Linked DNA regions of Rhinolophus ferrumequinum. The protein of the gene in region 2 purifies or fractionates together with the protein of the main gene of each other region. This does not show direct contact. Links are inferred from orthologs where the notes say so. Each region holds a gene or a part of one and is shown on either strand. Other genes may lie near its edges.

Region 1 (7,538 bases), on a different chromosome or scaffold from region 2:
TATAGTTGAATGAGAGAATGATTAATTAAAATTAAGTACTCCCCTTTAAACCTTCTCATCTTCTCCCTTTTCTTCGCCTGTTGTTTTCTGTGCATCTTTTCTTCATTCATTCAGTAAGTGCTTATCAAATGTCAGGGACTGTTCTGATACTGAGTATACAGATATAAACAAGACAGAACATGTGCAGAAATAAATAACAGGAGTGGGTATTATGATGGCCAGATGACCGAGAAGTGCTATGATGAAATTAAACAGAGATATGGAATCTTAGAGAGTGAGTTGGCAGGTGGGGGCAGAAATATGATGGAGGTGGTTTTAGATACAGTGGTGAGGGAATAGCCTCCTTAGGAGGGAATATTTAAATCAAGCCTGAATGATGAGAAAGCCCATCATACCAATATATGGGGGAGGAGTAGCTCAGGCAGAGGAAACCCTGGAGCAGGAGCCAGTGCAGACTTTGGAGGGATAACAATAAGGCCAAGGGGACTGCTGCACCGTGAATGAGGGGTTAAGGGTAGGAAATGAGTCAGAGAGGTGGGCAGGTGCCACAGCACACAGCCCTTATAGGGTATGGATGTTACTCCACTAGGAAGCTATTGGAGGATTTTAAGAAGAGGGGTGATGTGACTGGATTGATGTTTCAAATGACCCCTCCGATGCTACGGAGAGTACGGAGAATGCTGGGTATGGAAAGGGGAAGCAGAGCATGAGTAGAAGTTGGGAGACCAAGCAGAGGCTGTGGCAGTGGCTTGGGTGAACAACGGTGGTGAGCAATGGTGGTGGCTGGAAGCGAGGTGCTAGAAGTGCCCTGATCTGAGCAAAGGCAATACCTTCTCGTCAGTGCTGAGGGCGGTGAAGAGAGTTAGGCGTTAGAGCCACAGAGATCTGGGCTAGACATCTCTCTGAGTCTTTGATTCATGACCTAAAAAACACCTGATTCACAGGTTGTTGTGAGGAATAAATCAGACGAAAAGCATCTGGCACACTGGTGGGCCCCACTAAATGGTGCTCCTGGTCTGCAATTCCAAAATCCAAAAAGCACTGAAAAACTAAGGTTTTCTTTGTTTTCATTTGTTTTGTTTTTGGTAGATTTGTAGCCCCTTATCTAAACCTAAACTGGCATGATCAATTGAGTGTCTGTATCATACTTTGGTGCCTATTTATACATTTCACTGCAGAAATATGTTTCATTATACCTAGAGTGTCACCCCCAAATCCTGCTGAGAGCATTACGTAATAGACAGGGTGTATGCTGTATTGCCTTTCTAAAATCCAAAATCTCTGAAGACCAGAACACACCTGGCCCAAGGGTTTCAGATAAGGGTCTGTAGATGTACCATTATTTTCAGAAACCAAAGTCTCATTTAGTTTAGTCACAACCATGAGACCATACATCAAATTGGAGGGGGGGTCACAGATCTCAGAACAGCAGTTATGGAAGAGTCCTTAGCAATTACTTAACCAGAAGTCCTATCAAATGCTTTTACATTCTCAGCACTGTTACCTCTTAACTGCTGATCAGCAGAATGACAAGCCAGTTTGACTTTAAGTGAAATATACGTGTAAACTAATAAGGTACTGAACTGGCATGTTTGAAAAGTACTTACAAGTTTTGGGGAAAAAGAAATAGGTTTCTTTTTAACTACTTTTAATACATAGTTGTCTTAATACTAAGTTACCATTTCCCTAAAAGAAATCACCACAATAATCTCTAACAAACGGTTATGTGTCCATTTTACTCTTGCCCAGAAGATACTTTGGCATTCCCCTTAGGGCAGACGTGAGCGTCTGCCGGCCTAGCCCCCTCCAGGGCCTGCACAATGGTTGGCATGCAACATGCATTCAAGCAGTATCTGATGAATTAAACGAATAAACCAGAGATCACGTGTTGTGGATCTTCAGGTTCAAATAAGCAAACTGAAGAAAAAGAGCACAGTCTGCCCAAGATTCTAAGTTCCTAAATGACAGCAGAGAGTGTATATTTTAGCTTCTAACTGGCAAGGCATTTTTAGTACTAAAGAAATCACAGGTATTAGGAAGTCTCATTATTCTGGAATTCAAAAGAGAATTTATGAATTACCATTCATTAAACAACTATTTAATGAGTGCTGGGGTTATACCAGTGAACAAAACCCTGCTCCGGTGAACTTACCAGTGGAGGAACACGGACAAAGCCATAAAAAAAAATCAGAGCGATATATTGAAAACTGAAGTAAAATAAGGGTGACAGGGAGGGGCGGGTGGGGTTTCTCTTATAAGCAGGTTGTTCAGGGAAAGCTGCTTTGACAGAGTGACACTGAAGAAATGCAGGGGACACTGAGGGATGGGCCTATGCAGGTATCTGAGGGAAGAAAGAGCTTTCCAGGAAGAAGAAACTGGCAGTGCAAAGACCCAGAGGCAGGGGTGTATGCTTGGCTGCGTGTCAAGAACAGCAGTGCGGTCCGAATGGAGGGAATAAGGGGACTTGCCTGTGAGCCCAGAGACGGTGTTGAGAAGTATGGGGGGGGGGGCGGGGAGGGGGAAGAGGGTGTAAGGGGTCGAAATGGGAAGGGAGGGGGGCAGGAAAGGGGTTGGGGAGGGGGAAGCCAGGCAATTAGGAAACAAGTGTAACTGTCTAGGCAAGAGATTTCGGGCCAGGGATTACAGAGCCAATCTATAGGTAATTCAGGGCTGCATATTTCCCATCTCTCTGTCAAGTCATAGGGTCGATCTATTTTCCACTCGATTCCCTCGCCCCCCAACGCCGTCCTGGGCTATTCGTTACTTACTGTGATAAAAACTGTTCACCGGAAGAAAATGGATTTCAGTTCCCAGCACGCTGCCCGGGTCCGAAAAGGTTCCCGCACCTCGCCAGGGGGCCTGAGCCAGGAGTCAGGGGCCTCGCAGCCGACGGAGGACGCGGGCTGCGCGCGCGCCTCTGCACCCCTGTGCTCTCCGCCCCTCGCCGCCTCCCGCGCTGCCCGGCGCCCCGCCGCCCAGTTTACTTCGCGCCGTCACTGTCTCCCGAGGCACTGTCCGATCTGGACACCTCGGTCTCAGTTTCGTTTTCTCTGCGGACTCCGCCTTCCGCTGCGGCCGCCCGGCCCCCTCCCGTTTTAGTCCTTACTGGATCCGGGATCTGGAGACTGACGTTTCCATTGGGAGTCCGCGCGGCAGGCACGCACGTGCCGCTCCTGCTCCTGGGCGCGCGTCCAGACCCTTGTATCCCCACCCGGGCTTCTGGGGCTGTCAGGACCGGGTACAGGTAAGGATCCGTAGGAGGTGGGGAGGACACCGAAGTCTCCGAGCGCCCGTGGCGCGCCAGGCACTCGCTGAACTAGGCTCCAGGATCAAACATCCCATTTCCTCTAACACGCAAACATTTGGGGGTGGGGGTCAGGGTGGATAGTATCAGCCTTATCTTACAATAGAAGAAACTGAGTAAATTAACTCGCCCAGGGTCTTGCCGCTGGAAAGTGGCAAAGCTAGCATTCAGTTCAAGGTCAGGCCCCTAAACACCAAAGCACTCGGTCTCCTTTCCACACTGCTGCCAGGTCACATACAAGGCTGGGGATGAATTGGCCAGGGGAATAATCTTCCTTCTGTCTGTTTGCACCCATCCAACCGCTCATTCAACAGATACTTGCCAGCCGCTGTACCTACCAAGCACCGGCCCAGCAGTTAGGTGAGCCACCTGCTGCTCCTTAAGGGACCTCATGGAGTTTACTACCAAAGCCCTCATCAATAGTCCTCGATTTATAAGAAATCCTACTCACCTAATGGACTATGACACACTCCCAGAGTAATACTGATTCATTGACACGGTGACTAAAGAGTGCTGAGGACTTACTTTACAACAACACTGCAAGGTAGGTGCCATTGCTGTGCCCATTTCACAGATGATGAAACTTAGGTCTGAGGCACAGAGAAGTTAAATAACACAGCTAGTAAGCAGAGGGAGCTAAAATTAGAAGCAGGAGTCTGTACCCTTAACACCTTAGCTAGAGTAAAAGAGAGAGGTGGTCCTAAGTTGGACCTCAAGTATACATTAAATACTGCGCATTGGCTCCAGGAGTCCTTTTCCACTTCTCTTCTACATCCCCTCATTTTGCAGGGTATCAATGGCTAAAAACTACGTTTTCCTTGTAGCTTAGGTCTTGGACATGATTTAAGTCTCCCAAATGTGAAGCACTTGTGGGGTGTTTGGAATATACGAGTAGATGGGAGGCAGAGCCATCTTTCTGTGGCATTTCCAGGCAGCAAAAAGCTCCAGCAGTGGTGGGTGTTTGCAGGAATCCATTTGCCAGCCTCAGGCAGTGGGGTGGCTGTGGCAGAAGCAATGGCAATAGCAATGACACGTTTCCTGACATTTTGAAGCCCGGGAACTGCCCAAGAGAGCCTAGAAAAGAAAATGATAAGCTCAAGTACCGTCAGAGGACACAAACTTTTATGATTGCCCCAGAAGAACCTCTTACATGGAGCTTCAGGGCAGATGTTGTAAAGATCAGGTGCAGAGCCTGATGCCGCAGGTAGCAGAATTTTAAAATATAAGTTTAAGATGTAGCCTCACCAAGTCTTTTATGTGAACATTAAGGGCATTGATTGGGAAAGAATGAGGCCCTGGGAACTTGGATGGATTTGAATGAGTCCAAGTACCACTGCCCTCCCAAATTCTGTTGAGTGTCCACAGTCCTTCCACCTTTGTTTGCTAAGGATGGTACAGCCTACGTAGCTTGAAGATCCTGAAGTAGTCACCTCCAAATGTCCCATCCTACCTCATTCCTTCACTCCTAGAACTAGAATCAGATGCTAGGATGCCACCAATGGATACCGACAAGATCTGATCCAGAGGAGGTAGTTTACACAATAAAAGAGTTGCAAGATTTTACTAATTTTTTCCCCAGCAGAAACCCAGGAAATATGCATGGAAATGGTTCTAAAGGTAACAAGGCAAAATAAATATAATTTAGATTATGCACTCAATGTGCTGGCTCCAGCAGCGGGGAATGGCTCTAATGGTTTGTTCAGTTGGTTTATTACAATCTGGCCTCAGGGTTGGCACACATTAAGTAAAACTGTGATGTCAAGTAATACAGAGGAAGAAATCAAAAGGAGGGGGGTTATCACTTTGTGAGGGATATAAATGTCTAAGTATTATATTGTTTTGTACACCTGAAATGAATAAAAAAAAAGTATGTAGGGAATGAGGAACATTGGAATAGATTAATCATATGCAACCTATTCATTCACTCCCTAAACATGGTCCCCAAGAAAATCCAAAGGATCCTCTTTCACCAGGCATTGAGAAATATATTGGAGAGGGGGAGCATCAGCATCCTTGAAAATTCTGTAATGAATGGTGACCACTGCTGGTGGGGAATGTTGATGGGAGATGCTCCCTGATTTCAATGTGTACTATGGCTCCCAGAGTAGCAAAGGCCATGTGGCAACACTTAAACCCCAAAGAAAGGGCATCAGGGTCAGAGCAGTAATCAGAAAGTTTCAATAACCAAAGATCTTCAGTGGTGATAAACTGGTCCCGACATTCTTAGGACTCAAAAAAGATGCTAGTCCACAGGCATGTTACACGAGCAGCTATCTAAGGCTCTATCACTCCTGCTCTATCAACCCAATCTCTGAACTCATGGGGAGTTTCCTGTGGCCAGATGATTGAGAAAGAAATATTCGAATGAAGCACAACACACTGCCATTAATCAGAAGTGGATTGAGGTATTACAATAGCCCCGCTGGGAGGTGGTCCTAAAGGATAGTGGGAGAAAGGAAATCTTCCCAGTGGGCAGAATTTTGAGCAGTACCTTTAGTTGTCACTTGGAAAAAGAGAAAGCCAGTGGCTTGGACAGAACCAATGGCTAACCATTTAGCTGGATATTCAGACATTTGGAAGGAACAAGATCAGAGGGTCGATGATAAGGAGGTCTGGGGGAAATGATGTGGGTGAACCACTTAGAACAGACACAGAGTTAGGAGCATATTGGGTTCTCTTGTGAATGTTCACCTCCACAGGCACGCACTTCTGAGGAGGCTATTGAGAAGCAAGTGGGCAAGACGACTTCTATGGATGTCAGCTTTCCCAGCTACCCCAGTGTTTTTTCAAAATGAATGAAGAGGCAATGGCAGCAGGAATTGGATGATACATGTGAGTTCATCAACAGGGAATTCCCATCCAGGCTGCTGAGTACCTAGCGTGTCAACAACACAGACCAACCCTGAGCCCCCAGTGTGGATTCTCATACTCCAAGGAAGACCAGCCAGTCACTTTGTGGCAGACTGGTTACGTGGCGACCTTTCCATCATGGAGTGGGCAGGGATTTGCCCTCTGTGGAGTAAACATGTATTCCAGCTATGGATTTGCTTTTCCTTCCTTGCAGTGCTTCTGCCAACACCATCATTGTTGGACATCCTGAATATCTTGTTCACCATCATGTTATACCTCACTAAGGAACCCATTTTGCAGAAAAAGAAGGCAGACACTGACTACCATGGGATCAATGGTTTTATTATGATCATCACCACCAAAAAGCAGCTGGCCTTAGAAGACTGTGGGATGGAGTACTGAAGACTCAGTTACAGCCCCAGGTAGGTGACAACACAGCAAGCTGAGTGTACAGTCCTTCAAGTACAATATATGCTCTAAACCAAGTTGCTGTTTCTTTCACGGCCAGAATACAGGAGACCAGGAAACGGTAGAAGTGAAAAGCTTGTCTCCCACAATTAAACCTAATCACACACTTGCAAAGTAAGTGCTTTCTTGCTCCTATGACATTGGGCTGTTCTCCACTAGGAGACACATAGTTCCTTGCGCAGGAACTTGAGAGTGCATCTGGATTTTACAGGTTCATCATGCCATCAAGTCATCACAAAAATAAGGAAGTTAGCAACTGGGCTGATTGATGTGAATTACGCCGGGCAAATAGTGATACAGCCACGCAGTGGAGTCAAGGATGAGTATGTCTTCAACCCAGAGGTTTCTTTGAGGTTCTTTCTGGTAATTACATGTTCAATGATAAATGTTGATGGAAGTCTAAAGCTGTCCAACACAGGCAGGACTGTTAAGGTCTCAGCTCTTTCAGGATTGTTGATTTATATCGCCCTACTATGTAGTTGGGGAGACTTCTAAGGGCAAAGGGAACCAATGAAGAGGAAATTATAAACACCAATGATGGTCTCATGACCAGTTTCAGAATGAAGCACCATAGAAGCGGTGCATGTTTTTTTCCTTGTTTTGTTTTTGTATGTATTCATGAACTTCTTTTAATGGCTTTCCTCTTTCCTTTTATATGAGGTTTGCTGGTGGTGGTTAATTTTATAACTTAGTCTTTACATTAGAGTATCTTAAGGTGGGATCGTGACTAAAACAGAAGAGGAAAGAACATCGCATAGCAATGGGTATAAAGATTTAAGGGATAGGGTATGCATGCTTTCATTTGAATAAGGGAATGACTGTATTAGGTGGGAATGTAGTTTTGTTTGCTTGAAAGATTATTGGTAGAAGGAGTGGACTGTACTAGATATTAATTTTTATTTAGTTTCCATTCTTA
Region 2 (7,389 bases):
GTGTCCGTGATTTGCAGATGTTTTATTCCCCCACCTGTCCCAATTAGATCTGAGCTTTGAGTCAACCTTAAGCCCTTCTTGGACTAATTTGGAAAGCCTCCAAGAGATTGCCACCATTGGATTAAGTCCAGTAAATGTAGTTGTCTACGTTTTCAAAAAGATCATTGACAAATGAGAACAAGTATGTTAGGAGCTTCAAGCATTTGACATTATCTTTTTGTTGTTGCCTCAGCAACAGATGCAGATGTGGACGCTGATGATGTAGGCACATGATTGCAGATATACACAGGCACATAAGCCTACAAGAGAGATTCTCTGGATGATTTTATGCTCATGATAGTTGTATTTTCAACACTGTAGTTTTCAAAATGCTAACTTACAGTTACATAGCATTTTATAGTTAACAAAATACTTGAAAAGACTTTTTTTTCCCTGCTGCTGTACAAGAAAGGTGATTCTATCTTCATTTTACAGATGAAGTCAGCTCAAGGTTTGCCCAGGCAGATAGAACTTGAGCTCGGGGTCTCTGACTTTTAGGAGACTCATGTGATTGATTTTCAACTCTTCTATTTATTGTAGCTTTATTGTGGGAAATGAACCGTATAGATGTGCATAGAGTTACTTCTAATATATCAGCATAAGTAAAAATAAGTAAAAGTGTAAAGCAGTGGCAGTTAGAAGGTAGCCTGTGTGTAAGTTTGTATGTAGTTATACTGGAGTCCTAAGAGCCAAGACAAGTTTTGTTGGTATTGAGCCTGTGCTGTTGTGTCCACATACGCCTGAATCCGCTGAAAGGAGAGGCAGAAGGTTAGAGTGAGGTGTGATACTAGGTGCCCAACTCTGCACCATGCCCTTACCAAACTCATGGTCTAATTGGGATGACGAAACTGGAGTTTAAGGTAGGATGTAATCAGAGCCAGTCTGGTACTTTTATTGTGTTATTTCCATACCTCACAAAACCCTTAGTTCGCATTTCATAGGTGAGAAAATCAGGACTCAGAGATGAAATCTTCTGTTTAAGTCATAGACAGCCAGGGACAGAGCTAGGAATGGAATCGTCTCTGATATTTCTGACACCAGGGCCTGCCCTCTTCAGTGCCATGTTGCTTCTTTAAGTACCAATAAATGTAGTTCCAAGTTCAGAGAAGTAAATGGGATTTGAGGGGTTAAGAAAGAGGTAGGATCTGAGTTGGTCACTTAAAATGAGTATAATTTTAATAGCTAGAATGGCAGAGAAGGCACGCAGGGCAAGAGAAAATGGTATGAGTGAAGTCAGAGGAATTTGCATGCCTTGTTTGGGTGATGCTGAGGAGAGCTCTCTGGTGGAGAGGAAAAGAAGGTTGGGGGGGTGTTCAGGCTGATACTGTCTATTTTGATTTCTTTGTACTCTTTCTGCAGGGAGGTCCTGGCCAGTGAAGCCATCCTTAATATTCCTGACAAGTCTGACTGGAGGCAGTGTCAGATCAGCAAGGAAGAGGAAGAAACCTTGGCTCGCCGCTTCCGGAAAGACTTTGAGCCCTTTGACTTTACTCTGGATGACTAAGCAAAGGGAAAGGCACTTTATGAACTTCACAGGAAGTAGTAGCAGCCTGTTTTTTAAGAAACTACAGTCTCCCGTGGGGACTGTTTTCCTGCCTCTTTTTTTGTGCATTCCCATGGAACCTATTGGTAGCAAGAGGCCTAAAATTGAATATTTTTTGGAAAAAGTCACATTCTAGGAGGAAAATCCTATATTCAAGGCATGTCTGTCATCCAGCTCCAAATACAGCTTTTGTTTATCAACATTTTCCAAAACATTTAAACTATCAAATAAAATCCAAATACTTTCCCGTGTTTGGGAAGTGCCTGATGTTCATGTTACCTGTAACCACTGAAATAAAGTCGTGTGTGTGTGTGTAATAGGAGGAGCCGGGGCTTTAGGCCCAGCTGTTATCACAGGATGTCACAGGTGGCTTCTCCCTGAGCAACCCAGGATGGAGAAGGAACCCAAGGCCTTTGCCATTTTTCTCATAACATTCATTTGTTGATATGAAAGAGCTCATTCATTTCTTCAGCAAATATTTAACTCCTATGTGCCAGGCATTTTTCTAGGCTCCAGGAGTATAGCCATGTCCCAACATGGTCTCTGTTGTCCCAGAATTTACAGTCTAATTGGGAAGAGAAAGGGCAGATTTAAGATAAGAAGATGAGTTCTGCTTTAGATATGCTGAGTTTTAGATATGTTGAGTTCTTGCATAGTTATAAACTTATGGAGATCTGGATTGGAGATCGGGCTTTGGGGATCATCAGGGTATAGGCCATAGGTGAAATTACGAGAATGAATGAAAAGATAGGTTGAATACCAACCTAAGCTGAAGATGACTACCTTGGAAATAGAGTGATCCGACAAGTATATGGAGAAAGAGCAAAGAGAGGGAGACATCACAGGAGAATGTTGTATCTTGGAAGTCAAAAGAAAAATCATTGCTCCTATATATTGGGCACTAATGGCCCAGACACTATTTCACTTAATCCTCACAAAATATCTATGAGATAGGTATTATTACCTCCATTTTATACATGAAAAAAACTGAGACTGGCAAACTTGAAGATTCTGGAGCCTGAGGTCAACCGGCCCAGGATTTTAAAAAAGAGCTATGCAGTGTCCCTGTGAATGGGGATGTTAAAGAATGAGCTTTAGGAAACAACCAGGTTCCTGCAAAGATGGCCACTTCAGGGTCAGCTCAGTCATCAGTATCCTCAGGTCCTCAGCATCTCTTCCCTGGCTCTTGCAAATGACAATAAGGAGATTTTGGCCCCACCTGTGGAGATCAAACACACTTCAGTGCTCATTATGCTGTACACCTAGCAAATGAGGGCTTCAGAGTATTAGGATAATCTGCATCACAATCATTTGTGCAGTTTGCCTGGGTCTAAAGGATGTGTTCTTGGAAGTACCATTTGCACATCACCTCCAAGTCTGATACTCCAGCTCCGTGGCTACCAAGCATGTATGGGAAACCAGAATTTCCAACACCACACGTTACTGATGACCTATATACCATGACTCGCTTCGTATCATGCAGTGTTCAACAATCTGAGTGCACTATTCAAGGATTTTGGTGACAATAGACACATTGGCTTTGCCAAAAGCCTATTCAATGCTTTCAAAGCAACCAGTGACATTACCATGGTGCACATGCTGTACCCACCTTTAGATGTTTCAAATGCTACATCTGTGGTACAACCATCTGTGATAGATACAACCATCTATCACAAAGTGTTAATTGGAATTCCATGTACTGAGTTCATAGGCAGGGGTGTGCAAATGATCAAGTGCACACCGTCTCAAAGGAGGCTCAAATGACCATCCTTAACGCCAACTGACACATTTCTTGAGAATTTGATTCCAAGCTGATTGTTATACTTGGAGTAACAATGGAGTGATTAATGAAATCCCCAAGTCCTATGAAGCTATGACCAACTCAGCAAAAACAGGAAGCTGGTTCCCCTATGCTAAAGCAATCAGCCACTCGGAAACTCTTCTTGTTGCCCCAACAGCATTCCCCAAGCTTGCCTCTGCAGCCTTGCATCACGCATGAAAAACTCCCCACAATGAGGAACTACCTCACTGGCAAACCCGTATCTGGAGCACTGTTTGACAGGGACAAGATCCCGAAGTCAGGAACAGGAACGTTCTTTACTCGGGAACGGCATCACATCCTTGAGCCGTTTGGAATTACAGGGGAGATCCTGGGACAGGTATATAGGAAATAAAGCAAAAGAACAGCTGATCCTGACTCTATGGAACATGATTAATCATTTAAGGAAGAAAAGATGAACTATTAAGTCTATGGAGGCCTTGTTAGCGCGGGATTCTTTCTAGTTCTTCGGCTTCCGCCATATTTAAATCGGTGGTGGCCTTCGCCAGTGCCAGCTCAGCGGATGGTGAGGTTGGAGAATAGATGGCAGAAGTCTGAAGAAAGGTGAAGTCTAAATAGGGGTGGAGATGATGTGAAGTTGAAAAAAAGACCAATACAAGACAGACTGTTTTGGAAAGTGATTTGAAGGGAATGTAGGGCCTGGAGAGATCTTACATTTTTGAAGACTGGGGAAAAAACAAGTGGGTTCTCTCAGCTAGGAAAATGCCCAGGGTACTTAAGAGAGCGTATTGAAAGCGCCCTACTCCCCCCACCCTTTCCCCTGCTGAGGGGCTTGCGGCACGTTGGGAAAATTTGGGGCGGAGCTTTCCGTGTGGCAGTTACCGGAAGTGATGCATACATCTCGCGAGAAGAAAGACGCGCGAGCCTCGGCGGCCCGGAACCGGCCTTGGAACGGTGGCTGAACCTGAGGCCGCTTGCCCTCCCGCCCCATGGAGCGGCCCCCGGGGCTGCGGCCGGGCGCGGGCGGGCCCTGGGAGATGCGGGAGCGGCTGGGCACCGGCGGCTTCGGGAACGTCTGCCTGTACCAACATCGGGTGAGGCGGGGCGCGCGAGGGAGCGGCGGTGGCTGTTTGTCAGAGCGTCTGTGGAACACAGTGGCTGTCAGTATGTGAGATTGTTGGTGTTACCTCGGGCAGTACTGGGGGCCAATGAGCGTGTGTGCGTGTGAGAAAGAAAGAGATTGAGATTGTGCTTGTGGTTACTGAGTCAGGTTGTATCTGGGTCAGCGTGTGTGCGTTAGCGTTATTAGGAAGAACTTTTGGTATGAGTGTCAAGATGTGACAAGGTGTTTACCGAATGTGACGGTGCTTATGTGTCTCTGAATGTAAAGAGTGTAACGGTGTGTAACGTAAGGCAAATGCACATGAGAGTGTGTATTGTGAGCACAAGTGGGTGAGAAAATGGGGCTAAAGAGTGGGGGGGGGCTGCCTGTTGGAATGTGTGTGTACTTGGGTGTGCTTGGAAGCCATGTGTTATCGGTGGGACTGGAGTAGACAAGGTTTCAGGGTGGAAGCGTTTGGAAGCATCGAGTAGGCTTTGGAATTGGGGATGCATTCCAGATAGGAAGCTGTATGAGGATCAGATGGTGAAAATGATCGGGGCCTCGCAAGGGAAGGAGATAGATTAGGGGTGAGGTGCTCTAGTCGTTGGCAGACAGCTAACATCCAAGTCGGGAATTGGCGTTGATTTAATTGAAAATGTTTAACCATTGTAGCAGCAGTTAATAATCATGTTTGAGCTATGCATCTTTTGATAACCAATAAAAGATCTGAACCCTTTCCCCAGAAATATGCACAGAGGCACGTCCGTGCAGCCTTATGCATTGCCATTTGAGGAAGCTCATGTTCTCCTGAAAGACATTCACAGACCTTTTAGATATATAGACCCTGGACTAGTAATCCCTGCAGTATAGCCTTTGTTTTGTTATCTGTGAAATGGTTACAATAATGTCTACTCACCGTGAGTCTGAGAGTTAAAGAAGATAGTAATATGTGTAAAGCTAAGTACAGTACCTGGCCCATGGAAAGCCCTCAAACGTTTGCTCTCGTTGTTGCTGTGTTGTTGCTGTTATTATCATCTTTATCATCATTAATTGACCTGCAAAAAAGGAAATGCCAAGATAAAAGTGTTCTTTTTTTGTAAAAGATAAATCTGAGTAGGAAAACATATGGGACAAGCTGACCAGTTAAGCTATTACTGCCGTAAAATGCTTGCAATTGGCTTGTGAATGGAGAAGTGAATTCAAGAAGAGAAATCATGATTTGCTGTTTTAAGGAATGTGGGTGTGGATAGAGAGCCCATAGTATAGGATGGGACTCCATCTGGGAGGAATAGACATGTTTGTGTGGCAGTTACAATGACGAATATCACTGATAGAACCGAGGAAATTTTATGAAGCAGGTTTCTGGATAGAGCATAGGAGGAAATCTTGGTGAGAGGGAGAATGGAAGGCGAAGGACTAAGGCATTAAGTACTTTGACAGCTGGACAAGTAGTAATTTAATAATTCTCGCCATCAGAGAGGACATAAGGCACTCAAAAGGAAAAGAGAGGGAGCGATGTACTTCTATTAATAGCAGATGTTGCCTTTGGCCTTTGTATTTGAAGCCTGACCATCAGCCTGGTCATAAGAAAAATGTACCACTTCCCTGAAAATAAGACCTAGCCGGACAATCAGCTCTAATGCGTCTTTTGGAGCAAAAATTAATATAAGACCCGGTATTATGTTATGTTATACCCAGTCTTACAGTAAAATAAGACCGGGTCTTGCATTACTTTTTGTTCCAAAAGACGCATTAGAGCTGATTGTCCGGCTAGGTCTTATTTTCAGGGAAACGTGGTATGCATGCTGGCATGGTTTTGTGACTGCTTTTCTTGGTCCCTGGATGGGGACCAATGAATACATGATTTTTTAAAAAAAAATTGTGGTTAAGTATATATAACATAAAATTTACCATTTTAACCATTTTTAAGTATACAGTTCAGTGGCATTAAGTACATTCACATTGTTGTGCAGCCATCACCACCATTCATTTCCAGAACTTTTTTATCTACTGAAACTGTATACCCATTAAATAAGAACTTCCCATTTCCTCCTCCCGCGGGCCCCTGGCAACCAGCATTCTACTATCTGTTTCTGTGAATTTATCATTTTTTCAATGAAAGAGATTTGAGTCCTCTAGAATCTTAGAAATCTCTCAGAAGCTTTCCAGGTGTCCAGAGTGGACTTCCCCAAAACTGGGACATTTGACAACTTGGCCTGTAGTGAAAGAAAGAAATACTTTGTCGTAAGACTTGGAAACAGCATCACTACTCTTCCAAGCCTGACATAGGGTTTGCATTTACAGCTTTCAAGATCCTAGTGTTTTGGTGGAAGCCACATCCCAATATTTCATCTACACCTCTTAAATCACAATGAGGAAGAGAAAAGGATGTGAGAGTTTATTTAGCTGATTACTGTTCTGGGTGCTGGTGCTGATGGTGCCCAAATCAACATGAACAGTATTTTCTGCCTTCAAGGAGATTTCAAGTCTAGTGGGAGACACAGAATCACTTTTAAGTACATAAACACTTTTAAGTACAATGTGATAACCTATATAATGAAGGTATTTGTAAAGTAATATGGAAGAATGGCAAAATAACTAAAAACTCTTCTTAGGGAATAGGGTAGCACTTCTGAAAGTGTGTTTGGAAAAACTAATCCCGTGAAACTCTTTGAAAAAATTATACTATGGTCAAATACATTGGGTAAATGCTGCATCTATGATATTCCTTCATTTGGAGAGTCATAGCCCACGTTAGTATGTTAAAAGCTCTGAGAGGTCCTATAGAGAAGAAACTAACTTAGTTGCTTTCCAATTTTTTTTATTGTAACATATACATAACATTTATCATTTTAACCATTTTTAAGTGTACAGTTCTGTGGCATTAAGTGCCTTTATACTGTTCTGCAACCATCACCACTATCC

The links. Proteins that work in one complex are often made in the same cells at the same time.
Region 1: the proteins of CHUK (region 2) and EIF2AK2 purify together in Homo sapiens (affinity purification with western blotting; 3 studies listed by BioGRID). This does not show direct contact. The link is inferred for Rhinolophus ferrumequinum from reciprocal best matches to the Homo sapiens genes CHUK and EIF2AK2.

What each region holds. Positions count from the first base shown.
Region 1 is NC_046296.1:46,183,676-46,191,213, reverse strand, and holds the start of EIF2AK2 (interferon-induced, double-stranded RNA-activated protein kinase), read right to left. Parts: upstream 3,025-7,538; 5' UTR 2,769-3,024; intron 1-2,768.
Region 2 is NC_046299.1:24,311,468-24,318,856, forward strand, and holds the start of CHUK (inhibitor of nuclear factor kappa-B kinase subunit alpha), read left to right. Parts: upstream 1-4,281; 5' UTR 4,282-4,351; coding exon 4,352-4,456; intron 4,457-7,389. Other genes in the region: CWF19L1 (CWF19-like protein 1), read left to right, coding at 1,399-1,543.